3 linked regions of the Oreochromis niloticus genome follow. The protein of the gene in region 1 purifies or fractionates together with the protein of each later gene. This does not show direct contact. Links are inferred from orthologs where the notes say so. Each region holds a gene or a part of one and is shown on either strand. Other genes may lie near its edges.

Region 1 (7,526 bases):
CATTGATCAGGCAGCTGTGATTGAGCAGTGGTGTAAATCCAACTATTTTCACGGTTGTTGTGGTCGTGATAATTTTGTGAGGCCACATCGAAAAGGCTCGGATGAGCTTTCCAAAGTTCTACAAGTTGTGCCTCCATCATTTGTGTCCAGATCACACGCTGCACAGCCGTGCTACTCCGTCTTTTCACCGACGTTTATGTGTTTGCGTGTGCGCAGTGTGAGCGGCTGCGGTGACACCCTCACGACAGTCGGGCGATTGATGGTCGGGAGCTGGTCATGAGGTGTTAATCGCTTCTCGTTACCCCACGTATACTACACGATGAACGACGCACGATGAAGGCCAAACTCGGGCCGATCACCAAAACGGTCGCACGACTCAAAACTCGGCTCAAAATGGGCCAAAAATCGCACAGTGTAAGCCCAGCATTAATTACTAATTAGATATTTAGATGTATTTAATATAACATGATATAGGATAGATTTCTATATCCAATTGTGGTCAGATGTTTCCATAAAATCATTATGAGCATGAATGTCATTGTAATTTTGTGTTTTTAATTATTTTATTTGAACTGTTCTTTTTCTGGGGTGGAAGACTGTACAGTACACATCTTGGATCGCTTAAAAAAAAAAGAAAGAAGAAAAGTAAGAGTTTGGTGCACAAGTTATTTCTATTTTGGACTTTCTCTAATCCACAAGGCTCACATGTATATACAGGCACAGATTTACACATACAGGCCTGCTTATATTTGGTTTAATGTCTTTTAATTAAGTAGCACCCACAAGCTTTGATATTTGACCACTTTTCGTGGCAGAATTGGCAGAGTTCACTTAAATTATTTGGGTTCCGGCACAGACTCGGCTTTTAAACAGAGTTTCAAGTTTCAATAGGTGAGGTCGGGGCTTTGAGAAAACTACTCCAGAGCATTGACGCTAGACTGTTTTATCTGTTCTAAAAAAAGTTTTAATGTGTGTTTGGGATCACTGTCCTATTTGAACACACAGTTGTGTCCAACTATTAACCATCTAGCTGCTAATTTGAGGTGGAAAATTTGGAGTTAGCCGTCTTTCTTCATTACTCCATCCACTTTGTGCAGTGTGCCAGTAACAGGGCAGCAAAACAGCCCCAGAACATGTCGTCACCACCACCATTCTTGGCAGCTGGTTCAGTAGGTTTGAAAGCCTTGCCTTGACCACTTCAAACATATATTTTGTCGTTGTGATCAAATAACTAAATCTTGGCCTCATCTGACCCTAAAACTTTTCTCCAGAAGGCATTTGGCTTGCCCATGTGGACAGCTGCAAATTTCAGTGAAGCTTGCAGGCGTCGATTTTGGAGCATCACTTCTTTCTTGGTCAACATCCTCTCAGTACATGGTGATGTAAAACTGGCTTTACTGGTATTCCTGCAGTTTCTGGTTGATGGCAGGCTTGAGTCTTAGTAGTTCCTGAACATCCCATTATGAATTTACTCTCATCTGAGGGGTAACAATTTGCCAAGGTCTGGAAGAAGACTCCAAGTGGTGACACGTGTGAATAACTCCACCTACGTACAGCTGTTTGAGATGATGATCCTGGAACGGCTCCAAGAGATCTTCCCAAATTGTGAAATTCTCCTTCTTAGATCTGCACCGTGCTCCTTGAACTTTCTCACTGTGCTGAGTATTAGTGAATACAGTTAGTGCTGCCAAATAAATCTTTTTTATGCTGGCAAAGAGAACCTACCAGTCATGAGGACTAAATTAAAAGTCCTTGGCCTTGTCGAGTTAAAACAAATTGTAGAACCTTTGGCGCCATTTATGGAAAAATCTAAGTGAGTCTATGAGATATTTGAGCCTGTATGTACACTCTTGACCTTGTGTGGATCACAGAAAATCCCAAATAAATTCAAATTTGCAGACCCAACCCTTGTTTTTATAAAATCATTCAAGCTGACTATACAACCATTCCACACTAACAGCTCACTGAAAACTCCAAATTGCATCCATCACATTTATGCCCCTGCCGAGTGTGCGTAAACTTGTGACCACAACTGCAAACTTCCTGTTGACTAACTTGACCTGATGGAGCTAGATACGGAGCCATTGCAGCTTTGCTTAGTAAGGATTTGCAGAGATGCAATCTGGTAACCCTGCTACCTCAAATGGCTTTTATAAATACAATGCTTAAAAACATATGGAGAGATATAATCCAATGTTGATTTCTCTACTGATCTACAACCTTTTGCTTTTTAATATACAATAGTGTTGGATATATTCATTAATGCTGCGCACTTTAAAAACAATGAAACTGGGTTTTCTTCTCGTATTAAACGTTTAAAACAAGTTGTGTGCACAGCTTCCTCTGATAAACGAACACACCACCATTGCAGCATTTCAAAGTTCAAGTTAACGTTGGATTAAATTTAAAACACACTTAGGCGAAACATGTACGCCGAATAATAGGAAAGACCCTAAACATCTGACTGTAGCATGAAAATTATTAAAATGTGACAGCCACCTAAGACATACAACTAAACCAAATGAAAAACTCCAAAAATTTGAATGGGATTCAGATTCATGGGCTTCGTGGCTTAGCAACAGCGGGATATAAGTTGTTACATCATTGCTGCCTCACAGAAAGGAGCCTCTTTCAGTGGTAGATCTTATCCAGATGTTTCAACCTTCACTTGAGTGTCCGTTTTAAAAGCTTAACACGAGGCCAAACACTAAATCATGTTTAGCTAACACTGCTAAGTAAAACAACCTTAGCCAGTCTCTTTCCTTCTAATATGCTAGTGGCATGTGAAACGGCCATGGTACATAGTTTAAATATGCAGAAAGGCACATTTCTGTAGCTCAACAATATCTTACCTGCAGTTTCTGCTAAGATGACAGCAACACAAATAAGAAACACCTCCGGTACTTTCTTTTTCGTTTTCCTTTTGACTGTGCGGCATCTTTTGCTTTTTTGTACCTGCGCCCTCTGGCGGACAACCAGCAAACCGCATGTGCCTCACTGAGCCAGGGCTATCTACGGGGTCAAGATGCAGTTTTGTTATGTTAGTGTTGTAGGCCAGCTGATTCACTGTGTGCGCCACAGTTTTAATATCGTGGGGTTATTATCACGTGATGCTGATTAGGTGACACCTCTGACACCGCCACAACAGGAAAGAGAGCCACAGACTATGGTTAAAACCCAAAGGCCCCTTTTTACAGTGGTTTGCTGTGGAGTTACTACATGTTTGCGCAGACCAAAGCAAATATTTTATAACTGTATATATTTATAGGAGAAGCTAGGATTACCTGTAAATACCCAATATAATGGCTCTTTCAGCACTATCATATAGGCTGACACATTTCGGTCTTATGTATCACTTAAACATCACAGCTCTATCACTAAACGCCTATGTGGTGCTTTTAAATACTAAATACCTAGAGCTAAAGCACAGTTACCGATGAACTTATCAATGTGAAAGTGAATAAAGCATTTTAAATGAAATACTAGTATTCTCCTAATAGGTGCAAGTGTAGAAGAAATGGGTTCTTTCACCAATAACTAAAACTCACTGTTAAATTCACTTTACTTAATGCCCCATATATAGTCTGGGTCAGACTATAGCCTGCATATAAAATATGCAGGCTTTGTATAGAGTATTTGGTTGACCTGTTTAAAAAAAACAAACCCAAAACAAGCAAGTTTTAAAACATGTAACATGCGAGGAAAAATCATTTACAGAGCAGAATGAGGACAGCAATAAGTGCAACTTCAGCTTTTTGTCTTATTATATTTGCCAAAGACGACATGTGTGTGTCATTCTTTCTGTCTGTAAACATGACAGCTTGAAATGTTTTAAATAAATCTCAGCCAGAGACTGAACAGGTTGGTCCGGAGGCCCAGCTCTCTTCTAGGATGCCCTCTGGACCCAGTGGAGGTGGTGAGTGACAGGAGAATGGTGGCTAAGCTGTCTTCCCTGCTGGACAACATCTCCCACCCCGTGCAGGAGACTCTGACAGCACTGAGCAGCTCCTTCAGTGGCAGGCTGCAGCACACACGGTGTGGGACGGAGAGATTCCACAGGTCTTTCCTTCCTACTGCTGTCAGACTCCACAACAAACACTTCACAGCTGACCAAACACACACACATGTGCAATAACACTAAGTGCAATCCTCTTTGTCTGACAACATAGCATAACATGTATGCATCGGCTCACTCCCGGTGGCTGTTTATCGGGGCCTGGCACCTGTGGCTTGGTCGGGCCCCTTCGGGGGGTGGTGTGCCCTCAACCTCTGGGCCTGGGGCTTGGTCCACTCTGGCACAGCTGGCTGCCAGTGGAGCTCGCTGGCATGTCACTACAATCCCCCTTCAGGTGTGAAAACGGGTGTAGGTCACAATCAGCCAGGGTTTCGGGTGAGCTCATTGGGAAACCTGGCCCCACCCTATCATGTGATTTCCTGAGGTCAGATGGCCCAGGATGTGAGTGGGCGTTAAGGCATCTGGGAAGGTATCTCAAAACTGGATTATAGATGGCAGACAGTTGGTGTCTTAAACCACCGCCTCTGTTCAAAGATGGTCGTTCACAGTGGACATAGATGGCTTCTTTTACTCCTCTTTCAAACCATTTGTCCTCTCTGTCCAAAATGTGAACAATGGCATCCTCGAAAGAGTGACCTTTGTCCTTTAGGGGGTCCTTTTGTCCCTCTTGGGGGGACACTCCCGTAGGGTTTAAATCTGGGATTCTCCACCGTGTGACCTTGGAACTGAAGAAGCTTCTCGGATGAGAGGTGAAACATCTTCAAGCAACTTGAATCCAGACACTTTTCTTTCTAAGCTCCTTAGACTACAATGACCTGGATGACTGAGAACCTTCACAGACATCCTATTCCAGTGTTCTTCTTAACTTTTGCTACTGTAACTTTGCACTGTCCATTTTCTGCTGTGACACAACAAATTTCCCAAGTGTGGGACTAATAAAGGTTATCTTATATTATCTTATAAAACCTTGTACAGGTTAGAGGTGGGTCATGTTAACAATCCACTAAAATTTGACGTCTTTTTGATGAGGTCTTCAAGGTCAACTTAATGATTTATTGGTCAAAAATGAACAAAAAAACCTTATAATTTAGAAACTGTGAAGATTACAAGTGTGCTCTGTATTGTCCACATATAGAAAGTACAGTATAAAAAATTAAAATATCATGTCACATTTGACCTTTGACCTCTCATTCAAGATCAATAGATTGATCTGAAGGTCAAAGTGATAATCATGCTATATAGTATTACTATATAGTACAATTTAAAACTATGCAACAGACAAACTGCTACAGTTCAGTGAGTGTTGAAGGAGAACCCAAATGCAGACACAGGAAGGCAGGTGGAAATGAACAAAAGGCAAGTTTTTTATTAAGCTGATGTGAAAACTAGCCACAGAAAAATACAAATTCAATGGGAAAATAAGAACGAAACCAATGTTGAGCAAGAAAACACGAGGGAACTAAACAACACACTCTGCCAAAGGACAGGGGAGACTGAGACAGGAGGGTGATTAGGGGAAGTGGAGACACATGGGAAACACAGCCGGATCAAATCATCAATAACGAGATGGGAAAGTTAGGCCCAACAGAACACACAGTAGACAAGAGAGGATCACAATAAAACAGAAAACATTACTAATACTAAGACTGCGACTAGGATATGCAGACTTGACACAGGGACAGATCCACACAGAGAAAAAACACAGACCAGACAGACAAGGGGGCCTGACCGAGGGAAACAAAGAGATCACAAAACTAAATGTTCCAGACCCAGGAAGGGCCAGAAGATAAACTGAGACTACAAAGGATATGCTAAGAAAACTAACAGATATATTCATTTGTAAAGAGAGACAAACAAGAGTGTAGGATTCTCACAAAAACTTAAGACATCACAAAACCCAAAATCTATAAAGAAATAAGCACAAAGCCTTATTCTCAATACAGGGAACCATACATGGGATTCTAAATATCACATTACTTTGAACCTCTGACCTCTTCTTGAAGGTCAAATATGTATTATTATGACCTTAGATTATGATTAAAATTCTGCTGCCTTTGTTTCTATTGGGAACACTGATAAAATGATGCTGGTTTATGGAGATTCTGAACGTCACATTATAGTTTGCATTAAAATATTATGTCACATTTGACCTCTGACCCTTTTTAATGTTACACAGCTGCTTTTCTTTGACCACAAAATGTGTGTGTGTTTTTTTTTTACTCCACTATAAATTTCTATGAATAGATGCAAAATATAATAATTCCATTTAAAGTGAATACTGGCTTTGGTGCTTCTTGTTTCATGTGCACTGCATTTCACAGCTGATGTTTAAAAGCACAAAACCTTAGCATGTACAGCTTTTGAAAGTACATAACTGATCTTCACTCACTCCACAGCAGGTTTTATGCTTTGCAAAGCCATCCAGAGGGCAACACTTGACCTACTGTAAGACCAGTTCAGGCCCTCATGCTGGATGTTTGATGCTTCCACCGTAAACCTAATAATGCTGGCTGGGTCTGTTGACAAAATCATAACATATCAAATGCCACTGTTGGCTCTATTTTTACACTCCTTGCAGTTGTTGCCATTGCCCATTGAGGCTGCATCAGCCTGAGTTGAGTTTACGAGCTGGAACTCGTACTAACGAGCCCACATAGCATTTGATCCAACATTACGAATTAGAAATGAAGGTGAAAGCTCACAAGTGCAAAGCTTCACCCACTTTCTTTAAGTAAACAGCAGGTGGCGACAGAGACCATTGGAAGAGCACTGCTTCATTTCTCCCAGGACACCATGCAGAAAGCTTCATTTTCCTGCTACTTCAGCCTGCCCAGATTTGAACATTTCACAGGCAGTCCCTGCTGGTGAAACAGATAAGGCTGACCATGGAAAAACCCAACCAAACGAAAGTCTTACGTCTAATAACAAAAATGAAATAGGGGGCAATTAGAAAAGAAACATCAGTTAATCTTTAATCACCAACAACCCACTAGCGGTTGTACACAGCTAGAGGTCTTGACACGTTAATGGTTGTGGTGCTTTATTTTTAGACGTTGGCCTACTGAGAAATTTGCACAGGACTAGAGCTAACCCCAAGGTGCCGCAGTGGCAGCTCTGTGTTGTGCATTTTAAACAGAGAGGGGCGGGGTGGTGGAGGGTAAAGGGAACAACAGAGCAAGGGAAAAGAAGTTTGTCAGAGTTCATTAAGTATCAAGGGAACATCGCTGGAACTGGCAGCGTAAGCCGCGCCGGGGCCCTAGTGCCATTAATCACGACTGACAAGAAACCAGGGGCCGAGGGAGGAGGTGGAGGGGAGTGAGGGGAGGAGAGCTCTGCCAGAGACTCTGGTAGTGATTATAGAACGAGGTCCAGGCAGCCCGGGCCAGGGAAGGTAAAAGACACCGCAGCTGAGGCTGCAAAGTTCAGCTACCTTCATGCAGATCACACTCGCTCGCACACACAGGTAGACGGAGAAGAGAGACGTCAGACTCGAGGCTGCACGGCGGGGTCA
Region 2 (7,605 bases), on another chromosome or scaffold:
AGCAGCCAAACTTCAGTTAATTACTGGTGTACTTTTCCACTCTACTGTAACAAACAAAGTATCACAAAAGTAGCAAAAGTGCATTTGAGTGCTGCACGGGACATGGCGAAAGGATACAACACTGGCGTGGTTGATACCGACGAACACAGCGATACACCTCATGACGCTCGCCCATTCCCTCTTGAACTTGTGCGGCTCTCCCAAGTGGCTGTCGAGACAGGGATACAGCAGGCCGATAACAGCTGCAAAAAAAAAAATCAAAAAAGGGAACAAACAGTCTTGAATTGTGCCAGATAAGCAGAACTTCTGTGAAATAAAAATAGGGCAAACTGTGTCATAGAGACAAACTGCTGAAGGTGCATTTCCACAGTTAGCGACACACCTGCTGTACATGCACTTCAAAACCCCCACATGAGGAATATGCATAAACATTAGCTTTAATTTTAAAGTTGTCTTTTACTTTTTAAGTGTGACTTTTTAATGCAACTCCCTGCTTTGTGTGTACCAATCATTTTCTTCTACATACTGTCATTAAAAGTCCAAGAATTCGTGAAGGAAACTATGTAACCACACTATTATAATGTAAAAAGGAAATACACAGTGGATATCTTACAAGAAGTGGAGTTACAGGAATTATTACCTGGATCACGGGACAATGAATACGAAACCATTTTGACATTCGATTCGTCACTTAAAAAAACAAAACTGTTCACAGAAAGCACCAGATGCTTTTTAATACCAGGCTCTTAAGTCAGAGGATTTACTTCATCCCTCTAGCTTTTGTTAGTATATTTTTCACCTTATTCGGGCTCCAAGAAGCTTTTATCTGAGAAAATACCTCATTTGACTCCTCATTGACAATCTTTAGCTGCAATCCTACTAGGAATAGCATGCTCAGATGAGTCTGAATCAATTGTCCTGGTGAACTGATAGTTGACAGAAACTGGATCTGTGGCAGTTGCTTGTTGTGGAAACTGAAATATTATCTGTTTCTTGGGCTATTTATAAAGCACAAGAAGACATTTAATGACATCACCTTCAGGTGTGGGAAAGTAAAGAACAGTTTTCTTCATCTGTTGCATGACACTGGGGCTTTAAAACGGGAAGCCTGGTGCAAAGCCATAAGCCTACATCTCTTATTTCTTGGTTTGTTTCTGTCCTGCAGCATGCAATGACGAGAGGAGGGGGAGGAGCCAAGCATTTACGCGCTTCTTTCTTTCCCTCACTTCCCTGTTTCTGGCCTTAAAAGTACCTCCCCTCTCAGCTCACCCGTTATGACACCATCCAATGAGCTCGCAGCTCGCCTCGTGTCCGGCTGCTGCGACCAATCAGAGCGCAATAAAAAACAACATCCGTTCCAAGCCATTTTTTTTTTTACTTTTTGATAACAGCCAGACTTAATGATGCCTTCAAAACTGAGTCATAATTAATATGAAACAAAAACAAAACTGAATGGTGATTCATTGTCATCTGATCATACAAATGCTGCTGACAGTGGTGATGAGAAAAGGGATGTGCTTCTGCTGTATGCGGTTTAAATTTCTGCTGCTTATGGCAAAATCCAGCTCACAAAGGGGGATTTCCTGACCATAAGAGCCCATTTTATATACACAAGCGGTAAAACACACCACATATTATTTAAAGTGTCATTTTCTCTTTATAAGGGAAGGCTGTTGCGCTCTAACTCCTCCCCTCTCTGCATTCCTTTGTCCCCAAATTAGCCGCAAACTACTGATCACCCGGGTAAAACTACCCTTGCAGGGTCGTTTATAAAGCACCAACTAAGCTTTATAAAATCAGCCTTTTATTCACTCACCGGCTCCTGTACCGCAGCAAGGTGGGATCCACCATGCGGACGAAAACAAAGTTGTCATCACCTCCTCGGGGAAGAGGGTAACATTTCTTTGTATCTGGAGCAAGTTGAGCACCAGGGCCAGGAACACTCCGACCGTGAAGAGGACGACACCCCGGCGGATCAGGTTGGCCGTTCGGACGTCGTGCAGGGAGATGTAGGCACTGCTGAGCACCGATGTGATGATCGACATCATCTCTTCAGCTCTGGATGCCAACCAGTTTGCGCCAGATGATGGGTGCTTAGTTTCGGTCTTTGATGAAGTGGAGCAGCTCCAACAATGCTCCTCCAGCCTAGGCATTTGGCACTTTAAAGCTAGAAAAGGAAACGCGACAGTCAACACACGAGTTCCACTGTTTTCACGTTGAAAGAAAAAAATCGAAGAAATTGTTAAAAAATTGTTCCGGCTGCTTACCTTGATCTCCAGACGTCTTCAGAGTCAGCTCCAAGCAGAATCCTCTTCTCCTGTTCATTCGCGCCTCGGCAAGCAGATTTAAGCCAGGATCCCCCCTCCTCGTTTTCCTGCTCTTTTACAACAAGAGAACTGCAGTCACGTTGTTTGTTCACATCATCGTCAGCAAACACACGCAGAGCGAGAGAGAAAAAACACACAGTGCTCCTCCATTCCACCGCACAGACCTCATACCACCGACGAGAGCTTCCTCTGCAGAAAACAATCACAGCTGTGTCGGGTGAGAATCGGCAGCCAATCAGAGCTAGGCGGCTGATATGACGTGACGCCACCCCACCGCCCACTTCGTCCGGGACAGACGCACAAACAGGGAGGCTGGAGAGCAGAAGTGAAAGTGGAAACGCCAAACAGCGGCTCTTTAAAAAAAAGCCCGTATTCTCTCTATGATAGTTTACAAGAAAGTAAAAAAGAAGTCTAAGAGACAGAGGAGCCGGTTAAAAACATACGGAATAAAAGTAGTAACTATGACTTAACTACCACAGTACCACAGCTGTATTTTAGCTTTATATTCAACTAGAATATTACTCATTTTTTTAAAGGTAAATGTGCGTTTACCAGGCAGATCTCACGCTCCACCCCTTTTAGGTGTTGAATTATTCACTGATATTCTCTAAACAAACGCTGCTTTTCTTCGTCTGTAACTAAACTCACAGCAGTCCTCTGCACCCTTATATATCAAGCCTTTGGGAAATGGGGTCAGTGGCACAGTTCGTTTGTTTAAAAAAAACAAACAAACCGGTAAACTTTGGGTCACTTTAGAGGAGGTGTGGCTTGGAAGGAGGCTCGGGAGGGCGTGTAGTGCCAGCGCACGTCTGTTAGAGATAACGTGTATTCTGAAAGGTTCAATACCCCGATCACATGTAGACTTTTGGGGCTCGTTCGACAACAACGCGAAAACGTGTTTTGCAAGAATCTGCGTTATCCAGTCGGTCGTGAGTAGGTCAGTACAATAACAAACACCCTCCTGCTGGATACGTGCAGCAGGGCACATGCGACTACCGGAGCACATTTTGCTTCTGAGCCCGAGGAAAACCTCACCTCGCACGTGGATGAAAATCTACTCCCGTGCAAGCTTTCTCACTTGTTGTGTTTCCAAAAAAGATTAATCAAACGTTTTCCGTTCTTTTCACTTTGTAACCCCCCCCCAAAAAAAAAACCTGAGTCACATTTACTTAATAATATCAGCTTCTGGCACTTAGAAAGCAATACCATGGATGAATCATTTCTTTATGCAAATAAGACTTGGAAAAAGTGAGTTGATGCCTCATGACCTGGAGCAAATGTGGTAAACAAAAACAGAGACCGTATCAGTGTGACAGCATTTCATTTCAATTAGGTTTAATTAAATGTCTTTTTTGGGGGGTGTAATTAACAGTGCTCTTGGTATTTTGGGGGTATTATATTAATCGTGTGTGTGTGTTTTTGGCACATTTGTGGTGTTCAAATGTAGAGAGTTCGGCACTAAATCAGGGTGCAATGTTGGTTTTCACCCAATGTTCAGCTTCAAAGCTTCCAACCAGCTGCCGAATTTATCTCTTCTTAGTTATGGCTGATTTGATGTGCAGTGTGGAGAAAAACAATGTACGATTTATCAGGAGTATTTATGGAAATAACTGTATTTATAATAATACTACTACTAATAATAATAATAATGGACATGGTAACACTGTGGGCACACCAAGGACTTTTTAGTTTTGCTAGTGGTTTTTGGCTCTAGGGTTTGGTTGCCTCACCACTTCGGCTGCATGGCCATGAAATTTGGTGAAGAAAATCAGAGTCTTCAGGGGTCAAATCATAATGAGTCTGTTGATTCTCTGACTTTTGTTCTAGCACCACAAACAGATTAAAGGCAGCAGTTATCCTGTTATATGTATCAACATCTACTTGTTGGATTCACACTGTTTTTCATAGTTATGTTATTGGTCCCACAGAATCTGAGTATTATTACTCAGTTAAATACACCGCCCAGTGAAAAAAAACAAAAGGCACCGCTTGTATTTAACTAACCAGAATTTATGCAGGGATCAATATGATTCAGCTGGCTTTTTAACCCTAACTGAAGCAGCGAGAAGCTTCTCGTTAAGAACTGTCCAGGTTTTAACTGTATTGTTAAAACCTGGAAGGTTATTGATGAACCGGCACCTTTGAGGAAGAAATGGTATTGGATAAAAATCCTGAGTGATCGTGATTGGATTTCACTTAAACATCTGGTGAAATTAAATAAAAACAGCAACAATAAACCTCATGGCCATGTTAAAAGGGATAGTAAAAGCATTTTCACACACACACACACACACACACACACACACACACACACACACACACACACAATGAAAAGAACTGAAGGAATTGGGGTGTGTAGCTGTACAGCTGTGCAGCCTTATGCATGGATTGGCCACCACAGAGTCCAGACCTTTACCACTGAGAATCTTTGGGATGTGCTGGAAAAGACTTTACCCAGCAGTCTGATTCTGCTTATCAAAATAACGCCAGGTCGAATACATGCCTTCATTATAAGCTAAAGGTAGTCCAACGAAATTATAGAGTGCCTGACTTTTTGTTGTCTAAGCAGTATACTTTAGAACATCGTGGATGGAAAACCTCAGTGATTCACTTTGAGCAAGCAGTTGGAAACTCTTTTAACCAGAGGAATCCTGTTGACTCCTGCACGGTCTGAGAAAAAAGAACATATAAAATCTTTTTCACCTTCATTTTTTTCATTTAAGGAACGTTTTGAAATTGTGATCTACAGTCATGTATTTGTGTCATTGCACCGAGATTTTTGTAATACCCTATTTACTGGCTCATCTCTTCTCTTTTACACCTCCAAGCAATACAAAATGCTCTAGCAAGCAAGCTCACACTACTCCAATTTTATTCTCTTTACATTGGTTCCCGGTTGATTTTGAATCACGTTTTTAAAATTCTCACACTTGAAGCACTAAACAGACATGTTCCAGACTATATTATATCTCAACTTCTTGTTAAATGCACAGCTGTTCGCTATCTTCTCTCACAAGCTCAAAATCTATCAGTTTTCCGTTATACAAGACCGAAGACCATAGGAGAACAGATCCTCTTAGTCTGTGCATCAAGGCAATGAAACAATTTAATACTTCACCCCTTGTTAGCAGATTCGGTAGAATCCTTTTAAAGAAAACAGTTGAAAACCTTTCCGCTTTATCACGCCTTTTGTTGAGATTCTTTTGGTATTTATATTTTTATCGATTTCTGCTAGATATTTATTGCTTTGCACAGATAAAAAGCTCTATATAAATACATTTTGCTTACCTTTTTATTCTATTTTAGCATGGTTCTCTATTGATATTAATTGTTCTCCAAAAGTTGAATCTGTTCATCTGGACGTAGCGTTTTGTGGGAGAAACGTTTCGTCACTCATCCAAGTGACTTCTTCAGTCTCAGCTGACTGCAGGTTTCCCCAAACCTTATAAACAGTACATTTGCATAATGACTGAAACCAGCCCACTGAAGGAACAATGGGCTGTGAGGTCAGTTCCTTAATCATAATAATGCAAATTCCCATGACCCTGGATTTTGTTGAGAAGGTGAGAGATGTCATTATGGAGGCAGATGAAACCATGGTCTCGTACGACGTTACATCTCTCTTCACTTGCATCCCAGTCACGGAAGCGTTGGAGGTAGTCCGTAAGAGATTACAGGATGACACCAACCTCAGCAACAGGACCACTCTCAGCATCGACCAAGTGTGTTTGCTTTTGGAACTGTGTCTTCATTCCACCTACTTCACATACAAGGGTCAGTTCTACAGGCAGAAACATGGGTGTGCCATGGGCTCCCCAGTTTCACCCATCGTGGCCAATTTGTACATGGAAGAAGTGGAAAAGAGGGCGTTGCTATCCTACCCTGGAACACCACCAAGCCATTGGTTCAGATATGTGGATGACACCTGGGTGAAAATCAAATCTCAGGACGTACTACATTTCACGGATCACATTAACTCGGTGGACCGACACATCAAATTCACCAGGGAGGATATGAAAAGTGGCAGGTTAGCCTTCTTAGACTGTGAGATTTCCATCAGTAATGGGGGACATCTAAAAGCTGACGTGTACCGTAAACCTACGCATACGGATCAGTATCTAAGGTTTGACTCTTATCATCCACTGGAGCACAAACTGGGTGTCATCAGGACGCTACAACACAGAGCGAACACCATCCCCACTGACACAGCAGCCAGGGAGGCAGAAGAACAGCACATCAAGAAGGCCCTGAGTAAATGTGGATATCCTAGCTGGACTTTTGTCAAAGCTGGGAAGGCACCTAAAGAAAGCTCCAGCCGATCCAGGAGAGAAGGACAACCGCTGCCCAGGTGAAAACCTGTAGTGATCCCGTATGTGTCAGGAGTATCGGAACAGTTGAGACGCATTTTTTCTAAACACCGGGTCTCTGTGGCTTTTAAACCCCAAAATACGCTGCGCCAAAAACTGGTCCACCCCAAGGATCGGGTCCCCCGACACAAACAGAGTAACATAGTGTACGCTGTTAAGTGCCAGGAGGATTGCCAGGATTTATACATCGGGGAAACCAAACAACCTCTAGCGAAGCGGATGGCACAACACAGAAGAGCTACCTCGTCAGGCCAGGACTCTGCAGTTTATTTACACCTACAGGCCAGTGGACACTCTTTCAACGATGAGGATGTACACATCCTGGACAGGGAAGAACGCTGGTTTGAGCGCGGAGTCAAGGAGGCCATTTACGTGAAAAGGGAAAGACCATCTCTGAATCGAGGAGGGGGCCTAAGGGTACATCTTTCGCCATCTTACAATGCTGTGATTGCAGCCATTCCCCAACTCTCTGTGAATGGTACTCATGGCCATTGATCAGTGTTCTTTGATCAGTGGGTTTTGGTCAGTGATTGTTGATCAATGGTCATGGGAATTTGCATAATTATGATTAAGGAACTGACCTCACAGCCCATTGTTCCTTCAGTGGGCTGGTTTCAGTCATTATGCAAATGTACTGTTTATAAGGTTTAGGGAAACCTGCAGTCAGCTGAGACTGAAGAAGTCACTTGGATGAGTGACGAAACGTTTCTCCCACAAAACGCTACGTCCAGATGAACAGATTCAACTTTTGGAGATTTACTTTCCTGGATGATTGAGAATGCATCAAGAAGATATTAATTGTTGTATAGTAATTGTGACTTTTTTTGAAAAGCACTTTGTAAATAAAGTTTATTTTACTTTAAATTTATAGCGAGATAACAAACAGCACAGCCTATAGATGGCAGAATGTG
Region 3 (7,825 bases), on another chromosome or scaffold:
ATTAACATGGCTTGTTTAAATAAAGTCATCTCTGTAGTTCACCTGCAGACTTTTTACCCAGAGTTCAGCGGGACCAGCAGGCATCACCAACAACCGATCCAACCTTTCATCCACTCAGATGACATGAGATCAATAACCTGCAGGTAATTTTTTTTTTAATCAGATCAGAGAAACAGAGACACTGATGATCTAATCTCTGTGCTTTAGGACCTGAACCTGCTTGACACCAGAAGTCAAAGGTGTCAGCATCTGACCAATCACATTTAGTGTTGAGGGCGATCTCAGCAGAGTGGCTGATTTTATTACAGAGAAAGACTGAGCTGAAGAACTTAACCCCCACCCCCAACGGCAGTACTTTATTTTTTCCTCAGCAATGCAGAGTGTGTACCGAGCAAGGCTAGCAAAGAGAACTGATACCAAAAAACTATCGATTACTTTCCTCTGCATCAATAACAGCAGCATCATCCTCAACTTTTCAAGCTGACACAGCTCCTCCCATCACTAGCAGCAGGTGGACAGTAGTAAACCTGAAGAAGCACCTTAGAGACCGTCAGTCCATCTTTAGGAGGAATTTAATGAATTCAGAGAAGCTCCTTTTTTATTAAACATTTACCTGCCTGCGACAGGTTAGTGTTAGGATTAGCTCTTCCCCCAACCTAACTGTTATCATAAAGCTAGCAGCTGATATTAAAGTGGGAGTGAGGCAGGAAACAGACAGGCTCAATTTAATGACAGCTAGGGATCAGAATTGTACAGATTCTTGTAAAAGGACCAGTTCACAGTTGTCCAATTCCTTAGAATTCCAGGAGCTATCAATTCCGCTTACGGATTCTTGTACTCACACTACGATCAGCTGATTTCAATTCTTGTGTCAGAGGAAAATAGCAGCTCAGTCTACAGCATGGATACTTTTCTTTTTATTCCACAAAAGGACAAGAGCAAGATGGTAAAGTGGAGACTGCGTGCGGGACAGAAACAACTGCATTATGCTTCTAACACAATGGCTCTTTACAAGCACCTGTGCAGCCAGCATGCTAACGCTAAGCAGGCCAGGAACCCAGAGTGATATATGCAGACCTCAGCGCAGCAGCCACAGCCTGAACTGCAGGTAACAAACTGATGAGCATGTTTATATTGTTAAATCGTAATTATGAGACATTGTGTTTCAGGTCATTTTAAGGAGTAACATGAAAGTAATGTAATGAGTAATGTAGTGAATGACCTTCTCCAGAGAGTAATTAAGTCACACATTACATAGCTTTTAAGGAAATATTCTGTGTAATATGAGTAATAGATTACTTTTCTTGAGTAATGACTCCAGCACTGATCATAACAAAAAGAGGAAATACCGTCAACATGGACAAACATGTGACCCACAGGGTGCAGTTAATGTGCATGGCTAATGTCTTTGATATGGTGGAGACTCTCAAAGCACAGCCAATAAGAATCAATAAGGAATCAAATCAATAAGTGATATCAATAATGGAATCAGAATTGCTAAATTCTTATAAATGTTCATCCCTAGTAACAGCAACAGTAAATAGTGAATCAGCCCATCCTAAAAACACAAGCAGTGAAATGACAGTGACAGGTAAGTAGGAAACAGGAAGTAGCAGGACTGCACCTAAGTGTGCACGTCAGGATCGCTTCTTCATTTCATCTTCTCCCCTCCCAGCATCCAAAATCCAAGCTTCACATTGAGTCCGACCAGCATTTCTTACCACCGTGATTTCACGGGTAAAGGGAGCTGTTTTTAGAGGTTTAGATGTTTTCTGAGGGAATACTTTTAAATTCCTTCATGAAGGAAACTCCTGGAGCTCAGGTGAGCTCAGACTGATGATGATGATGATGATGATGATGATGGATAAGCTGTGGCAGCAGGTCTGCAAAAACTACAGACTGAGATCACCAGGATCTTCTGCATCCTCCAGCTGCAGCCTGACGATCTCCAGGTGAGACACCACAGACCAGCTTATCCCCCCCCACCGCCCCACAGGTACACATAAATACTGATGACTTCAGGAAGAACATCTGAGACATGTGGTTCATCAGCATTGAGTCAGCTGACTCATGTCTCCATTAATCTCACCTGTGAGCCACAGACCTGAGGCCGCTCTCAATGACAGGTGTGAGAGGCTGTTCTTAGTGTGGGAACCTCAGCAGGCGCCCCCCTCCTGGACATCAGAGAGCATGCAGCTCTCCATCTTTATTTACAGTCTGTGAGGTCTCAGGTGAAACAGGAAGTGGCATTTAGTGACTTTTTGCCATAAAGACAGCAGGATTGGGACCATAGGGTCACCATAACAAGACTATGAGGGTCTCAGGGTGTGACATGATCGTTCACCACGTGACCAGCTCAGGATTGCAGGGGACTCCTGGACATTGAAGAACATGCAGCTACCTGTGAGAGCGGGAGGAGCCTCTGAGCTCAGTCTGATCCTCACTAACTTCCTGTCTGAATAAAGTTTAACGAAAATAAATAAAGTTTCTCACTGCTCCACTTGCTGCGCCTCAGGACAGGTGATGTGATCAGCTGATCGTCAGCCCGGAAATGTGGTGTGTGTGTGTGTATTCTGATCAGCTGATCCTGATTGGCAGGCTCAGGTGTGTGGTGGCTGCTTCAAGCAGCTGTCCCCCCGCCCCGCCACCCCGCGTGTGTAATCCATAGACACCCTCACCAGCGGCAGGTGACGCTGACTCACCTGTGCGCGGCCTCTTCGTTGTTTCTCTCGCTTACCCACGAACGCCACAGTTAGCAGTTAGCAGCGCTAGCAGCAGGGTTAGCTCTGCGGCTAAAGGCGGAGTCCGGAGGCAGCCGGACCGGACAGAACCGGGAGCCGTCTCGGTCCCAGCCGACAGGTGAAAGGACGGAGGGTCCGGGTACACGGAACCGGAGTACAAGGTGAGGTCAAAACCCGGAAACTGTGGCTAAACGGCGGCTAACACAAGCTAACGGAGGATAAGAGTCTGACTACTGTCAGAGCGTCACTCAGACCGGAAATACACGTCCTAATACCGGAAGTAGTGAACCACGGCTGGGGTTCTTATGTCCCTGAGCGCTGCCTGGCAGGCGCCTCGTGCTGGTAGGAAGCTTCTGCACGTTTATTAACGGTGAACAGCTGATACGTCACTGGTCCACGAGTGTCACGAGTCCAAAAACTGGGATTGAGCTGATGGAGGAGCCTCGGGTGAGAAGGTGGGGGAAGAATCACAGAAATAAGTTACATGATGTGAGGCTGTGATCAGCTGACCTGCTGTTCTCTGTGGATCTGAGAAGACGTTTCACAGACGTCACACTGAACAGCTGTTCTGCATCAGCCAATCACTGTAGACTAACCAGCACTGAGCTGCCAGTACGGCGTGTTCTTCATATAACAGATCTAATGTCTGATTAAGACCTCTGAACAGCACATGGGAGCTTCTCGTCCTCTCAGAGACCCTGAGTGTGTGTAAATACAGCAGCTGGACTCTCAGACCTGATAAACTGCACAGACACAGTTTGTGTTGCTCATATTTGCTGAGCTGACTGATTACCTCACACTTAAACATTACACAGCTTCAGCTCCTGTCACACGTTTCTATATGTGAATGTTTCAAAGGGACGAGATAAAGACGTGACGAAGCTGATGTCACACGTCATCATTACTTAACAGGTGTCTCCATGCTGTCACTGGAAGCTAAGTGATCAGCTGGTTCACGCATATTACAATCTAATCAGATTTAACCGTTCATTAACTAAAGGTGTTGGGTTGTTCCCACCCACTTTGACAAGGTGAACTCTGCCCATGAGGATGGAGGTCTCTCCATCAAGCAGAACAATAAAACATCTTCATACTTCATACGATATGCATTCACATCGTTCAGCTGACTGAGCAGGTGGAGGAACCCTAAGATCTGTGTGGGGAAAATACTCCGCTCACAATCATTTCTATTGACAGCTCCAGCAGATTTTCTTAGTGTTTGAATTGTTTTACATTTATTGATTTAAAAGGGACAGTGTGTATTAATGAACATATATCAATGCAAATATGCCAGATTTAGCCAGAAGGCTACTTTTCATCTGTAGTCCCTGACAGGTCAGACAAAAATTATAAATAAAAAACTATAAATTTAGCACACCTTCAGACAAAGTACAACAAAGTAGCGCTAACAACAAATCCGTAAAATTATGTACAGGCTGTGATCAGCTGACCGGCTGCTCTTTGTGGATTTACACACCTGAATTCAACCAGATGTGAGCAGATGTTTTGCAGCTGTCTCGGCTGATTTCTACATTAACAGTATACTGAATGCCATCTTTGTACCAGACAGTATAAAGTCACTATAACAATTGAATTCAGTGAACAAATCTAAACATCATCATCTTACATGTAAATTAATCTCTGCTACATGCTGCTGAACACTGATCACCACAGCACCATAGCAAAGTGCACCACAGCAAAGTGCTTTACTGTGAATTCACCACTGTATTGCAAAGTAACCTGTTTATCCTACACAAAACTCCCCAGAATTGTCAGAAAACATTTGAATAACACAAAATTAGTATACTTAGTTTGTTTCACAGGAAGTTTCACAAAATGAAAATACATAATTTATAAAAACACATCAAAAACAATATGTGATTAAACACGAGGACTTGCATGTAAGCTTTATATGAGCAGATCTTTAAATCTAACCTCTTTTTTTTCCTCTCCTCTCCTGTCCTGTCTTTTTTATCTTTCTCCGTCTCTGAGTGAAGTTAGTGTCTCTTGGAAATGAGATTTTTAATCTCAATGAGATTTTTTACCTGGATAAATAAGGGACTAATAATACTTAATAATGTGGCCAATGATTCATCAGTTTTTCCTGAAATAGACTGAAGATGTGAAATCCTCAAACCTGAGATATTCATTACTCTCGTCATCTTTCATCATCATCCTCAGACATCAGAAACAGGGCAGGTGTTTAACTGTCAGAATGAAAACTCTTTTTTAACTTTATTCTAGGTCAGAAACTCTGAGGTTTCACATCAAAGTTCATTCAAATTTAAATTTTATTTTTCACATACACAATCATACACAGTACGACATGAAGTGAAATCCTTATTGCTGTGCAATTCCTGACCAAATAGAAGAACAAAACTAAAGAAATTAGCAGTGTGCAGATTGACAGTGAACAGTCAAAAATACAGTAATTGAGATATATTATTGAAGTTAATTATATTATTTCAGATGAAGCTTCACAATCAGGTGAGATTACCAGGAGCCAAAAAGACACAGGAACTGAAAGCTTCAGTCTCCACACTCATCACAGTCAGTCCTGATAAGCAAACCTGATCTACTTATGCTGCTGTAGACTCATTCTCTCTGTACGTTTCTGCAGGTGGGCCTCGTGGTTTCTGACTCCACCCCTTGTCCTTTACACTCTTTACGGTCTGCTGTGAGCTGACGGTGTGTAAATGAAGTTTTATTGAATGACATCACAGCATGTGTTCTTATCAGACTCAACTCATAGTGAATCACTGATCACTGATCAATTCCTCCCTGGACGGAAGCTGTGTTTCCACTGTCAGACTGAAGGGGGCGCCATCTGTCAGCAGAAAACCTGATCAGGACACACACACACATTTTCCCAGTCTCTGTTGCCTTGGTAACACCCTGGCTGCTGGATGGCCTCCAGGAAATGAAGAGTGAGATGAGTGGGAGGGAGGTGTGTGTGTGTGTGTGTGTGTGTGTGTGTGTGTGTGTGTGTGTTCATCCTGGTTTGATTCTAGTCGGGGTTTTTGAACTGAGGTCCTGCAAAGACAAAATTTGTGATGAACTTCTGCATCCAGCAGGGGGCGCCTAAGCCATCCACAGAGAGGTGAGGAAATGCATGCAGGGTTGAGCAAGTGGAGATTAGTGTCAGGGTGATTCATGATAGAAGGATAGCAGCAAGACTGAAAGGGAAGGTTTAAAGATGGCGGTGAGACCTGCTGTGATGAACAGGATCAGAAATGAGTCCATCAGACAGACGGCTCAAAGTCAGAAAGGCTGAGAGAGGCATGCATGTGCAGAGGAAGGAGGGTGAAAGATGAAGATGGAGCTTCAGGGAGGAGGAGAAGAGAAAGAGCTCAGAGGTTCATGGATGTAGTGAAGGCCATGCAGAGGGTCCGTGTGACAGGAGGAGATGGAGGCATGGGCGAGTGTGGGGACTGCTAAAGGAGGGAGTGATGTGTGTTGGATCTTATCTCAACATCACTGTTGCCATGGAAACTGCATAATGAGCTGAAGGTGCAGGACATTAGGCAGCTTGTTTGCGTGTGTGATTGGTTCTGCTATTGATCCTTGAACCTCTGTGAGACAGATGTGGTCACCTGACTTACCTGAGCTGGACATCGGTGTCTCCAACCTGCTCAGTCCTAATGAAGCTGTTGATAGGTGGAGGACTGACAGCACCTATAATCCCCCTGTAACCCTGAGGCCCCTCCCTGGGCAACTTAACCACCATCTGCACCCTAACCTGTGTGATCTTAATGACTCGTATGATGATGGGCTGGGGCAATGCTGGTATTCGGCCACACAAATGTAACTGCATGCAATTCTGTAAAAACCAACAGCTGTTGGGTTTTAAGAAAATTCCAGGTTTTCCAGGCTGGCCATGACGCTGCACTATGGTGACAGGAAACAGCTGCCACATACAAAGCTGTACCTGCTGGAGGTTGAACACCCACGACTCCCCATCAGCAATCTGCCTCAGAAGAGCTGAAACATGTTTAAAAGCCCAGCTGGTTCAGCTCAGCACTTTAACTAATAATCATCAATAACTGATTGATACTCTGATCAGTGATGATGCAGTTTCATGTCTCTTTTCTTTCCCCCACACTGTAAATAAAGACGGATGCAGATCGACATATTCTCTCTAACACCCAACAGGGGGCGACTGCTCTCCTGACCTCTGAGATCAGTTTCAGCTTTTTTGTTTGAGTATAGCATGAGCCGAGGTACAAAACGCCATTGTCCTGGACTTGCTGGTCAGGTGCTTTCACTGTGATGAAGGCTGAGAACCAGAGAGAGCATCCTTTTCTTGTTTAGGCTTTGAAAACATGAAGAAGGTCCTGCTGAGAGTCTGTGACAATTCGAAGGGTCGAGTCATGATGGCAGCTCTGAGCGCGCCATCATAATTTATGATGAACAACTCAGGAGCGCCAAAACCACCGTCATCCTCACGCTGATGCTGAAGATGTTCTGATAATAGTGAGATGTTGAATGAGCTGTACGTCCCACCCAGTTGAGCTGAGATTGGTTGGACTGGAGGTTCTTAATAGTGTCTCAAGGCAGTGCTCTGGCCTGTAAATGCCTTGCTGGTCTCTCAGCACTAATTGGTCAGTTTAAGCAAACTCCCCATGGGACCAAAACCTCCAGGAAGCTCAAATGATGGAGAGACTGAGAGAGGATGAAAGAGGAAATTAACGAGTTGACGAAGAGTCTGAGGGATGTCTTCATCACATCATCTGTGGAAAAGTTAGTGCAGCACAGAATCGGCTTCATCCTCTGCATAACAGGAAACAACTGGGATTAACAGTTATTACTGAGAGCCAAGAAGGCATCATTGTAAGAAAAGAGGAAGACACAGTGATGAAGAACAAGCTTTAATTGGAACCACAGAGCATGCACCTGAAACAGCTTCTTCAGCTCTTTTTATAGCAGCACTTTATACACTCATATGATGCTTCATGGTTTTACATTCAGATGAGAGCGCGCCGATTTAGAAACATCACATGCAACAACACATGGACACGGGAACAGCAGGACGGACCGCCTCGTATTTACAGACCGATTGTTTCAGGATGTTATTCTATAACATG

The links.
Region 2: the proteins of erlin2 (region 1) and insig1 purify together in Homo sapiens (affinity purification with western blotting; 4 studies listed by BioGRID and IntAct, with this or other methods). This does not show direct contact. The link is inferred for Oreochromis niloticus from reciprocal best matches to the Homo sapiens genes ERLIN2 and INSIG1.
Region 3: the proteins of erlin2 (region 1) and tmem259 purify together in Homo sapiens (affinity purification with mass spectrometry; 3 studies listed by BioGRID and IntAct, with this or other methods). This does not show direct contact. The link is inferred for Oreochromis niloticus from reciprocal best matches to the Homo sapiens genes ERLIN2 and TMEM259.

Annotation. Positions count from the first base shown.
Region 1 is NC_031977.2:6,880,831-6,888,356, reverse strand, and holds the start of erlin2 (erlin-2), read right to left. Parts: upstream 3,001-7,526; 5' UTR 2,990-3,000; coding exon 2,853-2,989; intron 1-2,852. UniProt on the Homo sapiens protein: Component of the ERLIN1/ERLIN2 complex which mediates the endoplasmic reticulum-associated degradation (ERAD) of inositol 1,4,5-trisphosphate receptors (IP3Rs) such as ITPR1.
Region 2 is NC_031974.2:16,865,528-16,873,132, forward strand, and holds the start of insig1 (insulin-induced gene 1 protein), read right to left. Parts: upstream 3,003-7,605; 5' UTR 2,880-3,002; intron 2,640-2,879; 5' UTR 2,497-2,639; coding exon 2,492-2,496; exon of another isoform or gene 2,465-2,491; intron 2,380-2,464; exon of another isoform or gene 2,375-2,379; coding exon 2,268-2,374; intron 2,168-2,267; coding exon 1,817-2,167; intron 243-1,816; coding exon 118-242; intron 1-117. UniProt on the Homo sapiens protein: Oxysterol-binding protein that mediates feedback control of cholesterol synthesis by controlling both endoplasmic reticulum to Golgi transport of SCAP and degradation of HMGCR.
Region 3 is NC_031986.2:36,032,777-36,040,601, reverse strand, and holds the start of tmem259 (membralin), read right to left. Parts: upstream 3,003-7,825; 5' UTR 2,703-3,002; intron 1-2,702. UniProt on the Homo sapiens protein: May have a role in the ERAD pathway required for clearance of misfolded proteins in the endoplasmic reticulum (ER). Promotes survival of motor neurons, probably by protecting against ER stress.